Oryzias latipes: one gene and its partners. The protein of the gene in region 1 interacts with the protein of each later gene in a pairwise test. Links are inferred from orthologs where the notes say so. Each region holds a gene or a part of one and is shown on either strand. Other genes may lie near its edges.

Region 1 (3,956 bases):
AACCAGCGGAGGAGGCAGTAAACCAGAGGAAGGCCTCTGATGGGATCAAACGTTGCCGTGACGACAGACAACCATCTGCGGTAAGGAAACCTTCAGCCGGCTGAAGCTCTGCCTATCTGTAACAGATGAGCTTCCGATGGAGACTTCACAGATGCGTCATCTGGATACGGAAGGACTTTCTGAAGCTCTGCTGATCTTTAAAGGCCGGGTTTGTCTCGGCTCGACCTCATTCGAGCGCCAAAGTCAACCGGATCTACTGGATAGAGGAGGACCGGTCAGAAAAAGGAGAAACGCCGTAAAAAAAATAAAAACATTTATGCTGATTTCTGTGAAGTAAAAACCTGCTGCTGGTCCCAAACTGGGATATTTCCATCTGCAGAAAAGCTTTTCTCCTTTTCTCTCCAAGTTTTCCACGTTGGATATTTGAAACGTTTCGGATGTTTTACAGACGAAGAGCGTCTTAGCAGATCGATAACAGTCGAAATTTGTTTCTAGATTTTAATTCTCATTTAGGAAGATTTGGATCCTTTGAAACGGTTTAGTCCCATTACAAAAACTTAATACTATTGAGGTATACTGCTTTTTTAAAACATTTGTATTACTTTTATTGATCATTTTTAAACGGATGTTGCATTTATTGACTTTTAGAAGTGTTTAGGATTCATGAATGTCCTTTTCTTTTATCTGCAGCTCTTTCTTAGAAAGGAAACGATGCATCTGCTGCTTCTTCAGGTTCATCCCAACAGAACTCCCAAAAGTAGCATTTAAGCCAAATGATCGGCCGCCCCGACCGCAGCCTCTTCCTCTCCCTGCAAAGCTTTTCCACCTAACGAGGACAATCCAGCCGGCGCGTCTGCTGTGCGCTGCATGCGCGAGCAGGCGCAGCTGCATGCGTGAGCAGGCGCTCCTGCATGCGTGAGCAGGCGCAGCTGCAGGCGCACCTGCATGCGTGAGCAGGCGCAGCTGCAGGGAGCTCTTTCACAGCGTTTTCCCAGTTCGCAGCCTGCAGGGCTTTCCTAACAAGCTTTCCTGGAGGTCCGGACAGGAGCGCGGCGCTGCAGCCGTGGCCCTTTGTGCAGGCGGAGGCCAATCTTGGCTTTTGAGGGGAGGGACGGTTCAGACCTCGGCAGACGTCTTCTGGTATCAGAGGTGGATCTAACTGAATACCAGAAGCACTTGCTGCTTCTCCACACCTCAAAGGTCTGCATCCACATCCCGCAGAGGAGCAGCGTCCAGGAGCTGTCACGCCGGTCGCTCCGGTTCTTCTCCGCGCTTCTCCTGCCAGCTGCACAATCTGCTCAAGAAGTCAACGCCGGCAAAAAGAAACATCATTAGGCAGCGCAGCGTTCCATCTGCCGCATACCAGACAGATAACAGGATTTACAGTTTGTGGTGTGCTGTTCACGCCAAACTTCACACAGCGTGGAATCTGATTACTCTCAAAACCTCACCCATGACTTCTGCCAACCTCTGAGCAAAGATCAGGAGGGAACAGGAGTCAAGGGAGGAGGAGGAGGAGAAGTTCTGCTCACTCTCCTCACGCCTGAATGACAGTCCAAAAAAATGACAAACGACAAAACAATCTCCAAAAGCAAAGCTGGTTTCTGTTTCCCAGCAGCACTCGCTTCTGTTCTTCGAGCTGCAGGATCACATGAAGCCCAGAAGCTCAGCTCAGCTGTGCCCCTGTCCTGAAACTTCACATCATCACACGGAAAAATAACCGCATTTCCACTCACAGAGCTGACAAATGTGTGCAGCCTTTTGAAACACGAGTCTGACACTTCTTTGGAGGACGGCGGGTTTTCCTGAACATGAACAAACTGTGGGAAACTTCCTGAAACGCATCCATGTTCATAAACAGAGCGATGGCTTATTCTATTGAAACGCCGCCGCTGGTGTGCATGTGGACGTAGTGCTGCTGAGCAGAGAAGCTCAGGAGTCGCACCTGCAGCTCAAAGGTCAGATGGAAACCAGAGACACTTCCAGGGGGAGCAGATGCATCTGTAACATTTCATTCCTCCTAGTAACTCTTGCTGCTGGGGGAAGAATCGGAAAGTGTGAGCAGATGTTCTGGTTCTGAGGGACGGTTTGATACCCAGTCAAACCCCCCAGTTTAACACCCAGAAGAGCCGAGCCGGAATGGAGCCAGACCGGCTGCATGTGAGGAGCATCGTGGCAGACACGCCTCCAGACTCTGGTGAGTTGGCTTTCCAGCCAAAAGCATCTGGACTGAGAACAGGAGCCCCCCCACCCTCCAGCAGCACAGAGGACCACGTCCACAGAGCAGCTTCCCCATCATCCCCCCTCAGGATCCACGCAGCCCTGTCACAGCACACTCCGGGCTCGCGCTCGTGCGTGGATCATCATGTCAGCCTCATCCACAGACTTTCGCCTCACGGCGGGCGGGTTTGACTAAACTTTAGAACATTCTGACTGAAGAGGAGCCTCCTTCATCGCGGGAGGCTGTGAGCTGTGAGGGGGGTCAGAGCGAAGCCCGGACTCACCTCGCTCCAGGAGCCGCAGACAGTGCTGGAAGGCCGGGTCCAGCGCCTCCTTCTCCGCCTGCAGCTCCGGTAGGATCTTGTCGGTCTCCATCTGCGCTCCTCCTCCTCTTCCTCCTCCTCCTCAGGTGTTCAAACAAAAGCTGAGAATGTGACGAACCCGCGAGCTCCGCTGTCTCCGCGCTCGCGCTACAAAAGCATCCCTCCGTCCTCGCGCGCACACAGAACGCGCGCTTAAAAGAGCGCGGCAGCTTTCATCCTGTCCGACTGCCGCCGCTCCGCCTCGCGCCGCATACAGACCCCCCCACGCCCCCCGCCCACCTGCGAGGAAGGAGGCAGGCGCGAGCGGCCATTGGTCCGCGGCGACATGTCGCTCGTGTAAGGGGCGGGGCTTCATCTTTCTGCAAAGAGACGTCTTAACAAAAAAGTCAATAAAAAAATGCTTTTATTTGATTAAAGTGTAAATAAATGATGAAACACGTCTTGGCCCCCCCCAAGGCTTACTCTGGGGGGCGTCTTATTCCAAAGGAATGTTGGTGAAGTGACTTTAATGAAACACAGAAAAAAGACAGAGTTTAGGAGGAGAACAAGACTTTCAGAGATGACACACACTAACGCACTTTGTAAACACGTTTTAAAAAATAGACTGTCCAATCATTTTAGCCAAGTTAAAGCATTAATTAAAAGAAAAAAACATGTTTGTATGAGAATAATATTAAAAATGTGTTTTTGTGATTTAGCTGCAAATATGAGTCACATTGAAAAACCAGAGAATGACTGTATTTTGTGGGAACAGACACCAGACTCAAGGATTTTTCCACAGTCACTCGTTTCAGTGAAGGCAGGAAAAATGGATTTATTGTCAGGCTTTAAAAAAACAATGACATTTGGAATGAAGAGCCTCTTATGAGCTGCTTTCTGTTTCCTTTAACACTTCTTGGTTTGGGAAACAAATTGAAAATCAGAAGCTAAATAAATTATTACTTTCTGGGCAAGACCAGAAACTTTCATTAAAGCAAAAGGAGGGAAAATGAGACAAAAACAAAGCTGATCAGAGCAGCATCTGTGCCGAACTGCATGATGAGGCAACAGTCTTCAAACTTAATAACATTTAGAAACCTGCAGGGCAACATTAGGTAATAATAGAGCTTAATATCATATCTAATGCAGTGCTTTAGTGGTGCAGATCAAATAAAGAGCAATATTACATTAAGATGGGAGACTGTCTTCCAGCAGACTGGCAGACTGCTGGACTGATTTAATCAGCTTCAGAGGTCGAGGGCCGCTCCACCCCTGCATCTCTTTTCCCGCTCTAAAGAGATCGTTCATCAGTTTCAACTCTGGTTTTCAGATAGAAATTGACTGATCCTAGCTGTTTTTACAGCAGGAGGAGTGCTCAGCGTCGTTTGTAATCCAACCCGTACGACCCCTTTCTGCAAAAGGGGGATTGATTGT
Region 2 (4,202 bases), on another chromosome or scaffold:
ATATGACCACCACCATAACAAATATTTTCTAAATATAATAATAAACGGGAATCTGCTGTGTCCAATTTTATCAGCAGTGTCTTTGTAACATAAGACAGGGCTCACTGCGTGAGAGCAACCTGTCCCAATAAATCCATATTTTAATTAAGACTCCTGATATTATCTGTTAAATGCAGCTTTCTTGTTGATTTTTGAAGTCATCTCTCTGATTCTTATACTGTGCAGAAATTGTCCAAATAATTCGGTTTGAGTTTCTTTTGTCATCTTGGGGTTATTTTGGTTTTACCGCCTGAGTGGCTTCTTTAGGAAGGTCACACATGTAGGAAGACATGTGACCGAGCGACTTTACATGCATAAAGTGTCACGGAGAGAATCTGGTAGTTTTTCCCAAATGAAATGGCTTTCAAAATCACTAATGACTAAAATGGAAATTTGTTTTTTCTTTCTGTGTCTGGGTACCAAGTGACCCTTTGCCCAGAAGAGACCCCCAACCTAAGGAGTCAGGTTGTTCCTATGAGTGGTCTGGTCGAGGGAACAGCTGATGTTCTACAGAGTTCTCCGGTCCTGCTGGAACTTTATGAAAACTTGCTGTGTCGATGACATTTAGTCCCTTTTGTGCTTCTTTTTTTTTGTATATTAGCTTAAGAGCTGAATTTGTAAAAAGAGTTGGCACGTTCAAAAAGCTTTTTTAGATTAAGCTAATGCAGTCTTGTTAAAAGTATTACTTAAAATCAGAATTCAGGGTTTCTGCGTTGGCATAAAGGAAACTTTAATGTGCACTGAAGCCAAGATGTTAAGATGTAGCAGGAGAATTGTTTTCTCACAACACTGTCTGCTAGCCACTGGCAGGTTTGACTGCAGACCTCCCAAAAACTGCTGCCTGAACATCCAGACAGAGATTTTGAAAGCAGACACGCTCCGTCTTTGATGCAGCTGCAGACGTGTTTGATCTCTTATCAGATTTGTGAAAATAACTGAGTCTGAGGGGGCGAAAAAATCCTTCCGGCTTAGCATACGGTGGGCAAGGAATTCCACAGATTTGGTCCATGTGGAAATGAAGCACAAAGAAAAGCTTCTCCTCTTTGTCCTCTCGTGAGCAGATGTTGACTCTGGGATGTGCTGCATCTTCAGCATCGATGCTCCGAACGGTAAACGCTGAGCGAGCTTTTCACATACCTAGAGTGCTTCTCAAAAACAGGAAGAGCACTTTGAGAAGGTGAGACGCTGCTGTAGAGTGTGTAAGTAAGTTATGCTGAAGAGCAAATGTGAGCCAGAGAACGCAGCCCTGTGTTCTCTGGCTCACATTTAAAACGTGGACAGAGGAGAAACGGGCTGCACTAAAGGAGAAAGGAGGTATGAAGTCAGAGGGGTCAGCTGGTGCTGCAGCTTACAGCTATACCAGCTGAAATCTGAGACTTGCACAACCACAGTGAGGCGGAGGGAGGGGGCAGAGGGAGGAAGAATGTCCAGCCTGGAGAAAGAAGGCAAACTGCAGGCTTTCAGAGGACACGAGGCTGCAGGAGCAGCAGGGAGATGCAGCTGGAGCTGAGCTGAGACATGTGAGGGCTGAGCCTGCAGAGACAAAGATAAAGACTCGCGCTGGATGCGGACTTTAGCTCTGTGTTTCAGACAAACACAGCCAGTGGCGCTGACACCGACCACGCTCCCCAGGACAAAGAACATCACTGAAATCCAAACCGAGAAGAAAGTGAAGGGGGAGACTTCACACTGGATTTTTTTCTTCTTCTTTCATTTCCTCTCGGGGAGCCAAGGTTAGGTTTCTGAGCTGGGGCTCTCTTGTTTTGAGGATTTTTCTTTTGCAAACTTGCACTTTTTTTTGACTCCTCTTTCTATACCTGCTAACCAACCGCCCCGTGGAATGTCAAATAGTTCCTGAGTGGAGAAACTGGATAATTACCCAGTGTTGGTGAAGCTCTAATGACTCTCCTAAACTGCCTCCCGTTTCCTGTGCAGACTGGCGAGTTGATTAACCCTTTAGCCTGCCTGGCTGCTGTCCGGGCTCCTTCTGTTGCTTCTGCAGTGGAGTCGCTCAAACACCCTGGACTCTGACGTTTTCCCGCTGTTAAGGATCTGCTGGTGTTTGTTTGGACACAACCCTCGTTCTGGATCTGCTGCAGAACTCCAGCCGCTCAGAAGCTTGTACTTTCCAAGGGGAGAGGGGTGGGGGCGGGGGCGGGGGTGGCAGGAGGGGAAATATGATCCAGTATTTGGAGGAATGCGTAGAGCTCCAGCAGCAGTGTGTGGTTTCCATGGAAAAGGCCTGAGCAGCGTGGCACAGAGGGGCTGCATACATGCTTTACCTCTATGTCTGTGGTCCAAGTGAAATCCAAGCAGACAAGTGTAGCTCCACAAGCTCCACCCTGGAACTCCCTGTTCAGGCTGCTCTCATGCGTAGCAACCAGGAATGTGCACAACACTAAAGGTGAAGCGCGTCGATCCTCACCAGCTCCATGTTTCTGCCCAAGGTGGCTTGAATTGGCACTTTGTGTGCAGGGGGCCGTGTTGGCACACCGATGCTGTGCGTGACGTGGGCGAGCACAGAAGATGCTTTTAACCGTTTCCCTGCGTACATTATGTTGCACTGTTTTAACGTGGATTAACGTTTGTGTTGAATCCCCCTTCACCTGTCCTGATGTTCCTCTGTTTAGTTTTGTCATTCAGGATATTTAATTTCTTATCATAGAAGAGAAAAGGGAACGACGGGAATGTTTTCTTCACAAATAGCACTTTTGAACATTTATTAAAACTAATTTGCTTTTTAAATATTCATTTTGTGTGTTTATGTTTTGGTCCTTTAAGGGCCTATACCAGGCTCTTCTTAAGCCTTTTATAGTAAAAAATATATATATCCATGTATATGATGATATATTTTGGGACACAAAAGAACATTTCTTTTAAAATTAAATATTAGTTATTTTCCTGAGTTCTTTTCCAATCAGGAAGTAGGACGACTCCATCTCTGAGGCTCCGCCTCTCGCTCTGTGATGCACAAAAGATGTTCTTGTTTTCTGTCAAAAGATTCATCACATAGTTGAAGGATTCAATATATACAAAAAAATGTACAATTTGTATTTACTCAACATTGTATTTAGGTTTCTGCTTGGTTTCTTAAATAACATCAATTAAAAATAATAATAATTTCCAATCTTTTGAGAAAAATATCCAATCTCTTAATTAATGAAACTATTTCTAGATTATATTTCTTCAGCTTCTAAAAGGGAAATGGTTTTCTTTTGCGATGCGTTTAAAGATTGTTGAGCCTCCATGAGGTTCATGGAGGCAGAAGCTGTTGGTGAAACAGACTTTTTGGTCTGTTTGCAACCAAACCATTGGCAGAACAAAGACAGGAAGATGTTTATGGTTTATGGTTTCCTTCATCGTTGGTGTTCACCTTCACGCCCCGAACCATCGATGGTCTTATCCGTCTACCTGTTCCCACACCGTAGCCCTGTTTTCTGCCTATGTTTGTAGACGAGACGGTTTATGTGGAGATGAATTTTTAGTTTCAAAAAGCAGCTTCCTGTGTTTGCGAGTTCTGTTTCCACACAGAAGGAGACATTGTACGTCGTTTTAACAGAAACCTCAAATCAAATGTGATGCAATCGTGTCCAGGAATAATTTGCTTTGTGTAGATTTTGTTCAGCTGAAGACAAACGGGTTTCACTCGTCAACCTTTAGTCCAGAAATGGACCAGACTTACTGAAATATGAATGAGTGGCTCTGCAGCAAAGCGTCCACACAGCAGAAATCTAAAGTGAGCACGCTCTGTGTCCTGCCCATCAAACACCGCCTCGGCGCCATCCGGCCCTCACGTCTGCCGGAACATCACAACAATCCGAGCCCACTTCTGTGTCTGACTGGAGAACAAAGCAGAACGTTCAGAACCAGCCTGTCGGGTTCTCATGTGCACTTCCTTTGTTTTCTCTTTCAGAGGTCCAAACATTTCAGGAGCAGACAGAAGCCTTATTTGGAAATCTTATGGACGAAGGTCAGTCTGTCTTGTCTGTCAATCTGTCTGTCTGTCTGTGTCTGAGTGGATCTGTTGGGGATTTGCTTTACATTTACAGGATCGATGGCAGCTTTGTTGGTTTTCCCATGTCTGCTGTAGTTTTGTGTGTGTGGGCTCAGACCTTTCTGTCGGGCTGATCAGCCGTCCCGCTGCAGGGCCCGGCCCACGCCGT
Region 3 (4,183 bases), on another chromosome or scaffold:
CTCTAACGTATGTGCAGCAGGATTCCAGTGGAAGGACCAAAAGCTACAAATGTGCCATGAAAAAGATTCACAGTAGGCTGGTTCTGATGTCCTCAACTCCTGGGATGTTCTACAGGTTCTGCAATCAACTGACTATACATCTGAAGCATTTGGACCACAGGAAAATCGTTATCATTTATATGTGTATTTTCTGTGTAATATGGTTAATTTGGTGGTAACTTACTACTACCGCTATTTGTTTCCTCCTTTTCCAGAAGAAAGTTTCAATGAAATTGTGGATAAACTGGACTCTTACTGCACAAGTTGGAATTTTGGACGTTTTGAGACTTCTGATGAACTAAGAAATCCAAAATTTTATTAAATATTTTTGCTGCGTGACCAATGATTTGAAGATCCAAACAAGGCTAAGGACTCCTGAGGGTGATTTATATAATTACTATACAACTGGAATAAGTTCTCTCAAAAGAAAAGCAAACAACGTAAAGAGGCAAAACCTTTACATTCACAAATGTACCATGTAAATACATTTATCAGCATCAAACTTTTTAGTTGCTTTGTTTTCCTTTAAAACAATGCCGTTTTCACATCAAAGCTTTGCTCAAGAATAGTACTCAGATCTGTAAAATGTGAATGTTTTGATGTCAGTTTTTTGGAGTAAAACAGGTAATGCTCTTTGATTTTGACTCATTTTGTTTTCTTTTTTTAAACTGGCTGCTACTGGAGTGTTACCATTAAAACCCCCAATGAAAGAATTCCCTTTTTGCACTGAGAACAAACATCAATTGAATATTTTTCACGGCAGCTTTGCTCAAAAAAGAAGTGACAAAACCATGTGAAGAGAATGGCGTCTGCAGCTCTGGAGGTGCAGTGACTTGAAACTGTAATTCTGTTTCCATGTCATGTGACCTTCACTGTGGTTTGTGAGCAGACTTTTTTTTTGTCTTACTTCTGTAAAACTTCCTGTCCATCACATGAACACGACAACCCACCCTATTTCCTGAACCCGTAGGCTTTAGAGAACTTGCAAAGCCTTCTAATTCAAATGATTGAAAGCACACAGATGCAGACCTCTGGGTTAACGTGCCTTATTTTCATACTAATAAGTGCCAAATATCAACTTAAAAATGTGAAAACTTACAAATTCAAAGCCTATTTTACTTCCTGTTTCTGCATACGACATCTCCTTTTCATTAAGTGCGATTTAGAGAGTTAGTTTGATTATTTTCAGAGTTGGGTGTGTTGGTTAATAATTAGAATATTTTAAGGAGGACTGGTCCAGTGCATGCCAAGGCCTGCATTTGCATTTTACAGCTCAGGGGACCTGTCATACAACAGACAAACTGAAGGCACCACTGCCCTCCTCTCTGCAACCAGACCAATGAGGAAGTTCAGAGCAGAGCTCGCAGCAGCTTCCTCTTACAGCTTGACGAAGCAGAGGGGGATCAGATGAGAGAAATCGAAGAAGAATAAAATGGCCAGAGAGAAAAGCTAGTGTTTATTTTATTTTATTTTATTTTCAAAGAGCTGATGCAAAACACCGGAGCTCAAGCTCTTTGATGGCAAGCAAGATGCCAGGTTATCAACCTTGGTACCATGGCAATATAACCCGATCCAAAGCCGAAAATCTTCTCTCCAATACAGCAAGAGATGGGAGCTTCCTTATCCGGGACAGCGAGTCCGTACAGGGAGCTTATGCCCTCTGTGTTTTGTAAGTTATCAATATTTAACCATCATGAATGTATACTGTTTGGTTAAAAGTGCTTTACCAGTGACGTTTTACAGTGTGTCTTAAACTGTTTATCCTTTGTGGAAAGAATTTGTGTATTTTTTGCAGAATTTTTAGGTATTTCTGCATTTAACTCAGACGATTTAAAGTACAAGGCCTCTGATGTCTTTCACAGTTTCACATCCCATGCTTAGGCTATTTTTTACACTTTGCAATCCAAAACTAGTTCCCTTTTTACTTTTCATTGTGTGCCATATTTAAGAAGCACCAGCCTGTGCCTTCTGCAACACTTTGTCTTAGCGCGTTTATTTGGCCGACCTTAATTTAAACGCCCCAGAGATCATTTTTCACTTATACTGAATTCATGTTGCATTTGTCATATACCAATGACAAACATTTGCACTTCTCCCCCTGACCAGATTCCAGACATGTGTTTACACATACAGAATCCTTCCAAACGAGGACAAAAAGCTCTCTGTTCAGGTGGGTGGACGCTTTGACACAAGCGACAGATTCTTCCCTTTGATAAACCTTAGATTAGGTGTATCAGATTATGTGATATGTCTCTCCTAGCATCTGCTGGCACACAGCATTTTCTATTCTTGTAAGGTCTAAATGAGTGATACTGTAGTTAGGGTAAGAGTTCCTTTAAACAATCAAGGAAGTTTACACTTTCTGAATTTCAAGTGAGATGGACAGTAGATCCTGTTTGACAGAACAGAAGAAGTCCTGAACCTGAGAGAAAGCAGAGTTTTACACTGAAATCAGGTTAGCTTTGTGCAACGTTGGAGATGAAGGTTAGGATGAAGGAAAGTACAGCAGCTCTTTGAAACAAGAACCAGATTTTGGCCATCTGAGCAGTGCTAGGTTTTCTTTCACAGTAGATCTGTGACACGTCTTTGTGTGATGTAAAACATGAAAAAAAAAAAACAGTTCAACAGGAGGGTGAGTTTCCTATTTTAGGCTTGTCTATGGCTTTCCTGCTTTGAATTAAAGCTACCATTGTGTTGGTTTTTACATTGGAAACCTATAATGGAGATGTTGTAAGTCATTGAGCATTCTATCTTTTTGAAAACTAGGACTTTGAAAACTAGCTGTAAAAAGCTTCGAGTTGGACATTTGCCTCAAAGGAGGAGGGCCTTGGGTGTGAAGCATATATGCAGAGAGTGGGGGCTCCTCCACACGTGTCTTTAAAGATAAAAAGCACCTCAAAGGTGTCAATTTCTTTGATTGACATTTTAAAACAAAACTGAGAATTACAACGCCATGTTTGGTAGAGCTGTAGAGAGAACGACCTTCAGACAGATTAGACTAAACTGAAGCTTTATGGAGAAGTACATTTTATTTACAAACAAAAATAAAGCAGAATAAGAAAATAGACTGTCCCTATTGTGAAACATGGAGAAGGGTTGGTAATGGTCTGGGCTGTGTTGGTGCATCTGTCCCAGAGTTTTTAAAATAAATCTTAGGCCTATCAAGGCATCTTGGAGGCAAATATCCCTGAAGGCTTGGCTTTAGCTAGTGGTTCTTCCAACAGGTGATTGACCAGAAGTCCCAACTAAAAACACTGGACTATTCTGAAATGACATTCTGTTTGTATTTATCTAAATCCCCTTGATCTGTTGTTGAAGAGGAGAAATGCCTTCAAACCTCAAACAACTGGAGCAATTTGTCACTGTTATCACAATTCCTTTGCTTGCATTGAATAAAAAGTTGAGGGTACTGTGATGCGTTTGCATGATTTGCAGTGACAGCGATACTCTGGCTTATCTGTGTCCAAGGCTGTTCCGAGTAACACTCTGTCAAAAAAGAAACTTTTTCATCCCAGCCTGGAAAATTATAACCATTGTGGTTTTTAACAACAATGTTGCATAATATTTGTACTGTTTAAACATCTCCCAGAACAATTTGGACGATATGGTTGGTCATAAAAACATCAGAAAATACAATGAGTACTTGGATGGTTGTATTTCTGGAAATAAGATGTTTACACGCTGAAGTATTTGGAACAAAATTGGTATATGCCGTTTGTCTGACCCTGAATGCGGCTTATTAGAAAAATGTAACTGGGTCTTGTCTTCTAAAAAGAGCTTACTAACGGTGAGAGTTTTGTTGTGCAATACCATTTTGATTTCTGGATTGAGACACATTCGGGACAGTTGTTGGGGTTCTCATAAAAGATTAACAGGGTTTTAATGCACCTTTGAGACCTTTTAAATGTATTTATTTTAACTGTTTTTATTCAAATGTCTTGGCTACATGTGTTACATATCCTCCATCATTTCTGCATAATATCCCAAGTCTTCAGAATTGTATGAAAATGTAAGACATGTTGATATTTTTTAAAGGTTACTGGCTAAAACTATGGGGGAAAAAAAGATTATATATTTACTTTTTTTGCAGGCATCAGATGGGGTTCCTATTAGGTTCTTTGCTTTGCTGAATGACCTGGTGGAC
Region 4 (4,130 bases), on another chromosome or scaffold:
CTGCAGGCTCACGCCTGAAAAACAAAGCGTTCATCAAATGATGAAGAATCACCTCACCTTCATCAGGAGCAGCACAGCATCCGTGATGACTGTTTCCTTCCTGACAGAATAAACCTTTCAAAATAAAAGCTCATCTTTAGATAGACTTGTTTCTGCTTTTATCCTTTAAAGTTCAGACGGATCTAACAACTCATTCAGTTCTGTGAGAAAATAACAGGAATTTATTCCTGATTTTTACTTTAACGTCATTTCTTTTAACTTTCAGAATATAGAAATATTCTAGAAAGAGAGAATAAAGACTTCTTTATCCCATCGCTGTGATCAAATCAATGCCAGAATTTCCCAACCATGGATGCTGCGTTCCCGGACCAGGACGTCTGCTGGGAATGCGTAGAGGGTCGTCCTCCTCTCTCCTCCTCCTTCCTCCTGCTTCGTCCTCATCCTCCCGCAAACTCCTCCTCCCTGCTTTCTTCTCCTGGGGGGGCAGCAGCTGAGCCCTCACCTTCTCTGACAAACCGTCTCCATTTATGAAAACCCTTCAGAATAAAAGCCTTCAGTCAATCATTTCATCCAGATTCAGGGTTGCTACCTCTGCACCCGCAGCTCTTATGGTCTGCCCTCCTCACCTGTGACTCTGTGACCCTGAGGGACTGAAAACAGGAAGAACTGCTGATTCCTGTGGGGGACGTTTTTTTACACCGACCTGTCAAACGTGTCCAGATGGTCGGCGTCCACGTGATCCTTCATGTTCACGGTCAGGTCGGTCACCTGCTGCGTGCTGCAGTTCTTCAGACACACAGAAAGCAGACGCCGTCACACCGCCGTTACCTTCAGCTGGAATCTGACGTCAGCATTTCTGAACGACGATTGTTCAGAGTTTCTGTGACGTTCGTGACGCGTGGACTCATGTTCAATACAACACGAGTCCACATGTCTGCAGGACGTGAACGGAACAGAAAAATAACATGCCACCATAATAAAGATTGAAGAAACAGACAGAGGGCTGTACCGACTCACTGCACAACTACACATAATATATTCACCAGGTTTCTGCTTCAGAAATATTTATTGTTTTCCTGTTTCTCTTTATTCTAGTATCTTCAGCCATGTTTTGCAGCTTATCTTCTACAGTTACTCATCTATTTCAACCATCCATCTATTCAAATGTTCGGCTCTTTCAGCTTTTTCCAGCTGTGACTTTTGGTCCTTCAAATCCTTGAACTTTTCCAGATATTCCAGGATTTCTGCCTCCATTTAAATAAATGGGGAATCCTTGGTGCAGAAGCTCGCTGGTTTGATACCCGGCTCTGGCATTTTTCACAAACATTTTTGTTATTGTGCTGTTTTCACTTTATTTATGGTCAACTTTGATCATTTCTTTATTTTTTGCCCGTTATTCCCCTTTAAGTTTCATTTTCATTCAGCAGTACAGCATTTAACCGGCATTTTCTTCTAGAAATGCAGCTCCTTCTAGTTTAAGTTTCTTTTTGAAGACCTTTTCAGAACTTCTGCTGGGAAATCAAAATAAAAGAAAACCATCAAAGTTCAAACCTAAAGCCATCTGATCTTCATTCAGAAAACCTTTGTTAAAATCTCTGACTGCTCTCTATTTTTTTAATTTGAAGCTATTCCACTAAATCTTCACCTTTCAACAGTTCTGAGATGATAAATAACGCCTTTGTGTGCTCCCTACATCATCAAAACACGTCTGATGTTCTAAAACGAGCCAAATGTTGCCATGAAACCTAAAAGCGGCCTCTGTGTTTTTAAATTTCAGATTTGTTTCTCTGTCGTCTCAGATGTGAGGTTCGCTGCAGACTTTTTGCATTTAATGCTTCGTTCTCCCTCATTCCAGCAGAGTGCCCACCCCCTCATGTCCTGAAGGACCCCCCCCCATGCCTACCATCAGGTTGAATATCACAGCAGAGTCCACGGGGACGGCTTTCAGCAGCATCTTTGCGTCCGCGCCTTCGTAGCGGAGACTGTACAGCTCCTTGTTGCTGCTCCAGTCTGCAGGCAGGAGCTCCGACTTCCGGTCACCGCTGCGGGGCTGGGGGGAGGGACGGGGGCGGGGGGGGGGGGTGAGACACCCTCTCTTTCAAACGCTTCTGTGCCCCCCCCCCCGCGCTAAAGATGACGTGACACTTTTTGCGGAAAGTCCATTTGTTTAGTATGAGACCAAATGGCGCGTGCCAACTGCACGAGACTAAAAATCGGACTAAAACATGACTCAATGCAGAACTTTAGGAGGTCAAAGGTCACCTAGATGGAGGAAGAAGAACCAACTCAGCGGAGGTTTCCTCTGAATCGCCTGCAGGACAGTTTCAGTTTCCATCCTGATCCTCCTGCTAATGTAGCAAAGCTAACATTTATTCCCACAGACTGAGAGTTTAAATCAAAACTGTAACTCAGAGGGACTTCAGAGGCTGTCAACAAACTACGATCTAAAAGTAAACAAACAGCATTAACTTGGTTCGTCTCGTATCTTAAATGTGTTTAAATAAAACCAGAATGTGTTGTTGGTTTGTCTCTTCTGGTTCTGCTTAAGTTAGCTAGTTCGACCCACCTCGTCTCCGGAACCGATGCACCGGTATCCTCCCTTGATCATTTCCCAGTGAACGAAACACACGAGGGCGTCCTGAGGACAAGTCAGGCTACCTGTGACGCAGGTGTACAACACCTCCAAGCCTGCCATGTTGTCTCACAAACCAACAGCACAGAACAAGAACAGAAAACAAAAATCGCAGAGTCGTCGCTTCCATAACAACCACAGCGACTTCCTGCAGGGATTTTCAAAGTAAAAGCACGTGGCTTTTAGAGGATTGCAGAAAACACATACGACACGCTAAAATAGTATTGTAGACGTGATACAGTCACAATTTAGTAATCAGATATTTTTAAAACGAACAACGATAATCTACTTCAACGTGACGCTAACACAGGCCCACAAAAGCGTTAATTTTATTTTATTTTTAAATACGCCCCCGGAAACAGTAAAATAGTTTATTCCAACTAGACGGCGAGTTGCAGTTTTGTTTTGATCCGTCACATAAATCTTTCGACTGAAAACACGCAAATGACAAAACATTCCGCATTCCGGGGTGATTAAAGAAAAACGCCTGTAATATGTGCTATATTATTGTTTAAAATTACAGCGTCTTTATGTATATTCAGCATATGCAAAATTAGAACTAACAACAAGATCATATGAAAACTCCTCTGTTGAGATTAAACTCCTTTTCAAGTTGTTTAAAATGTGTTTATTTACCTTTACACATAAAATTAAATACAATATTTGATTAAAACAAAATTCTAATCTTGATTTTAATTGCTTGAATTATGCGTTTTAAATAGTCTTTTTGTAAATATGTTCCTTTATTATTATTATTATTATTATTATTATTATTATTATTATTATTATTATTATTATTATTAAACTCGCTCCTTATCGCTGCTTGGACTGTAAATCTGTGGAGGTTGGAGGTAAATGTTTTCCTGACGAGACGGAATAAACTTGACTTCCCAGCATGCACCTCGAGCGCAGGGCGAGAGAGCTTCCTCGCGAAGATGGCGGCTCCCTTGACGCTCCTAATGATTGTCGCCGTGACGGTCCGTGCCGTTCTATTCCGGTCCAGTTTGGCGGAGCTGATTTCAGAGAGGGTGGAGGTGGTGTCACCGATTACTGCCTGGAAAAGAGGTGAGCGGGCCGCCGGCGGGGGTCCGGAGCGCACCGGTCACACACGCCTCGCACCCGCGCGCCTCCCCGCTGCGCCGGTAAACCGGTTCGGCGACAAAATCTGTCACAAAAGAAATCTGTAAATGTTTGGAGAATGGTCGACGAAGGTGAAACGGTGTCAGACTCGGACTCTGATCCGATTTTTGGTCCCCAAAAAAACCCCGAACTGAAGGAACTCATCTCTGATTATTATCATCGATTGTTACTCGTACAAGTAATCTATTACATTTGAATATGACACTGTCAGAGCTGTAACGCCTTCATTAACTGAAAGTGACTTCAGTCAAAGTAACGACAGGAGGTTCTGCAGAGGAGCTGTTGGGTTGTCCTGCAGGTTCTGATGGATGAAGAACATGTTTGGGTTCATCCATGTTCCTGATCATCTGATCTGTTG

The links.
Region 2: the proteins of khdrbs3 (region 1) and siah1 interact in a two-hybrid assay, tested with the Homo sapiens proteins (3 studies listed by BioGRID and IntAct). The link is inferred for Oryzias latipes from reciprocal best matches to the Homo sapiens genes KHDRBS3 and SIAH1.
Region 3: the proteins of khdrbs3 (region 1) and inpp5d interact in binary tests that used the Homo sapiens proteins (3 or more experiments, as listed by UniProt). The two-hybrid records come from large-scale screens. The link is inferred for Oryzias latipes from reciprocal best matches to the Homo sapiens genes KHDRBS3 and INPP5D.
Region 4: the proteins of khdrbs3 (region 1) and psmf1 interact in a two-hybrid assay, tested with the Homo sapiens proteins (2 studies listed by BioGRID and IntAct). The link is inferred for Oryzias latipes from reciprocal best matches to the Homo sapiens genes KHDRBS3 and PSMF1.

Annotation. Positions count from the first base shown.
Region 1 is NC_019869.2:24,808,127-24,812,082, forward strand, and holds the start of khdrbs3 (KH domain-containing, RNA-binding, signal transduction-associated protein 3), read right to left. Parts: upstream 2,801-3,956; 5' UTR 2,596-2,800; coding exon 2,505-2,595; intron 1-2,504. UniProt on the Homo sapiens protein: RNA-binding protein that plays a role in the regulation of alternative splicing and influences mRNA splice site selection and exon inclusion. Binds preferentially to the 5'-[AU]UAAA-3' motif in vitro.
Region 2 is NC_019864.2:25,286,456-25,290,657, reverse strand, and holds the start of siah1 (E3 ubiquitin-protein ligase SIAH1), read left to right. Parts: upstream 1-1,402; 5' UTR 1,403-2,325; coding exon 2,326-2,443; intron 2,444-3,952; coding exon 3,953-4,009; intron 4,010-4,202. UniProt on the Homo sapiens protein: E3 ubiquitin-protein ligase that mediates ubiquitination and subsequent proteasomal degradation of target proteins.
Region 3 is NC_019862.2:27,116,308-27,120,490, forward strand, and holds the start of inpp5d (phosphatidylinositol 3,4,5-trisphosphate 5-phosphatase 1), read left to right. Parts: upstream 1-1,383; 5' UTR 1,384-1,556; coding exon 1,557-1,708; intron 1,709-2,145; coding exon 2,146-2,209; intron 2,210-4,129; coding exon 4,130-4,183. UniProt on the Homo sapiens protein: Phosphatidylinositol (PtdIns) phosphatase that specifically hydrolyzes the 5-phosphate of phosphatidylinositol-3,4,5-trisphosphate (PtdIns(3,4,5)P3) to produce PtdIns(3,4)P2, thereby negatively regulating the PI3K (phosphoinositide 3-kinase) pathways.
Region 4 is NC_019863.2:32,757,249-32,761,378, reverse strand, and holds the start of psmf1 (proteasome inhibitor PI31 subunit), read right to left. Parts: upstream 2,801-4,130; 5' UTR 2,696-2,800; coding exon 2,567-2,695; intron 2,051-2,566; coding exon 1,904-2,050; intron 787-1,903; coding exon 704-786; intron 537-703; coding exon 348-536; intron 15-347; coding exon 1-14. Other genes in the region: pigu (phosphatidylinositol glycan anchor biosynthesis class U protein), read left to right, coding at 3,568-3,697. UniProt on the Homo sapiens protein: Plays an important role in control of proteasome function. Inhibits the hydrolysis of protein and peptide substrates by the 20S proteasome. Also inhibits the activation of the proteasome by the proteasome regulatory proteins PA700 and PA28.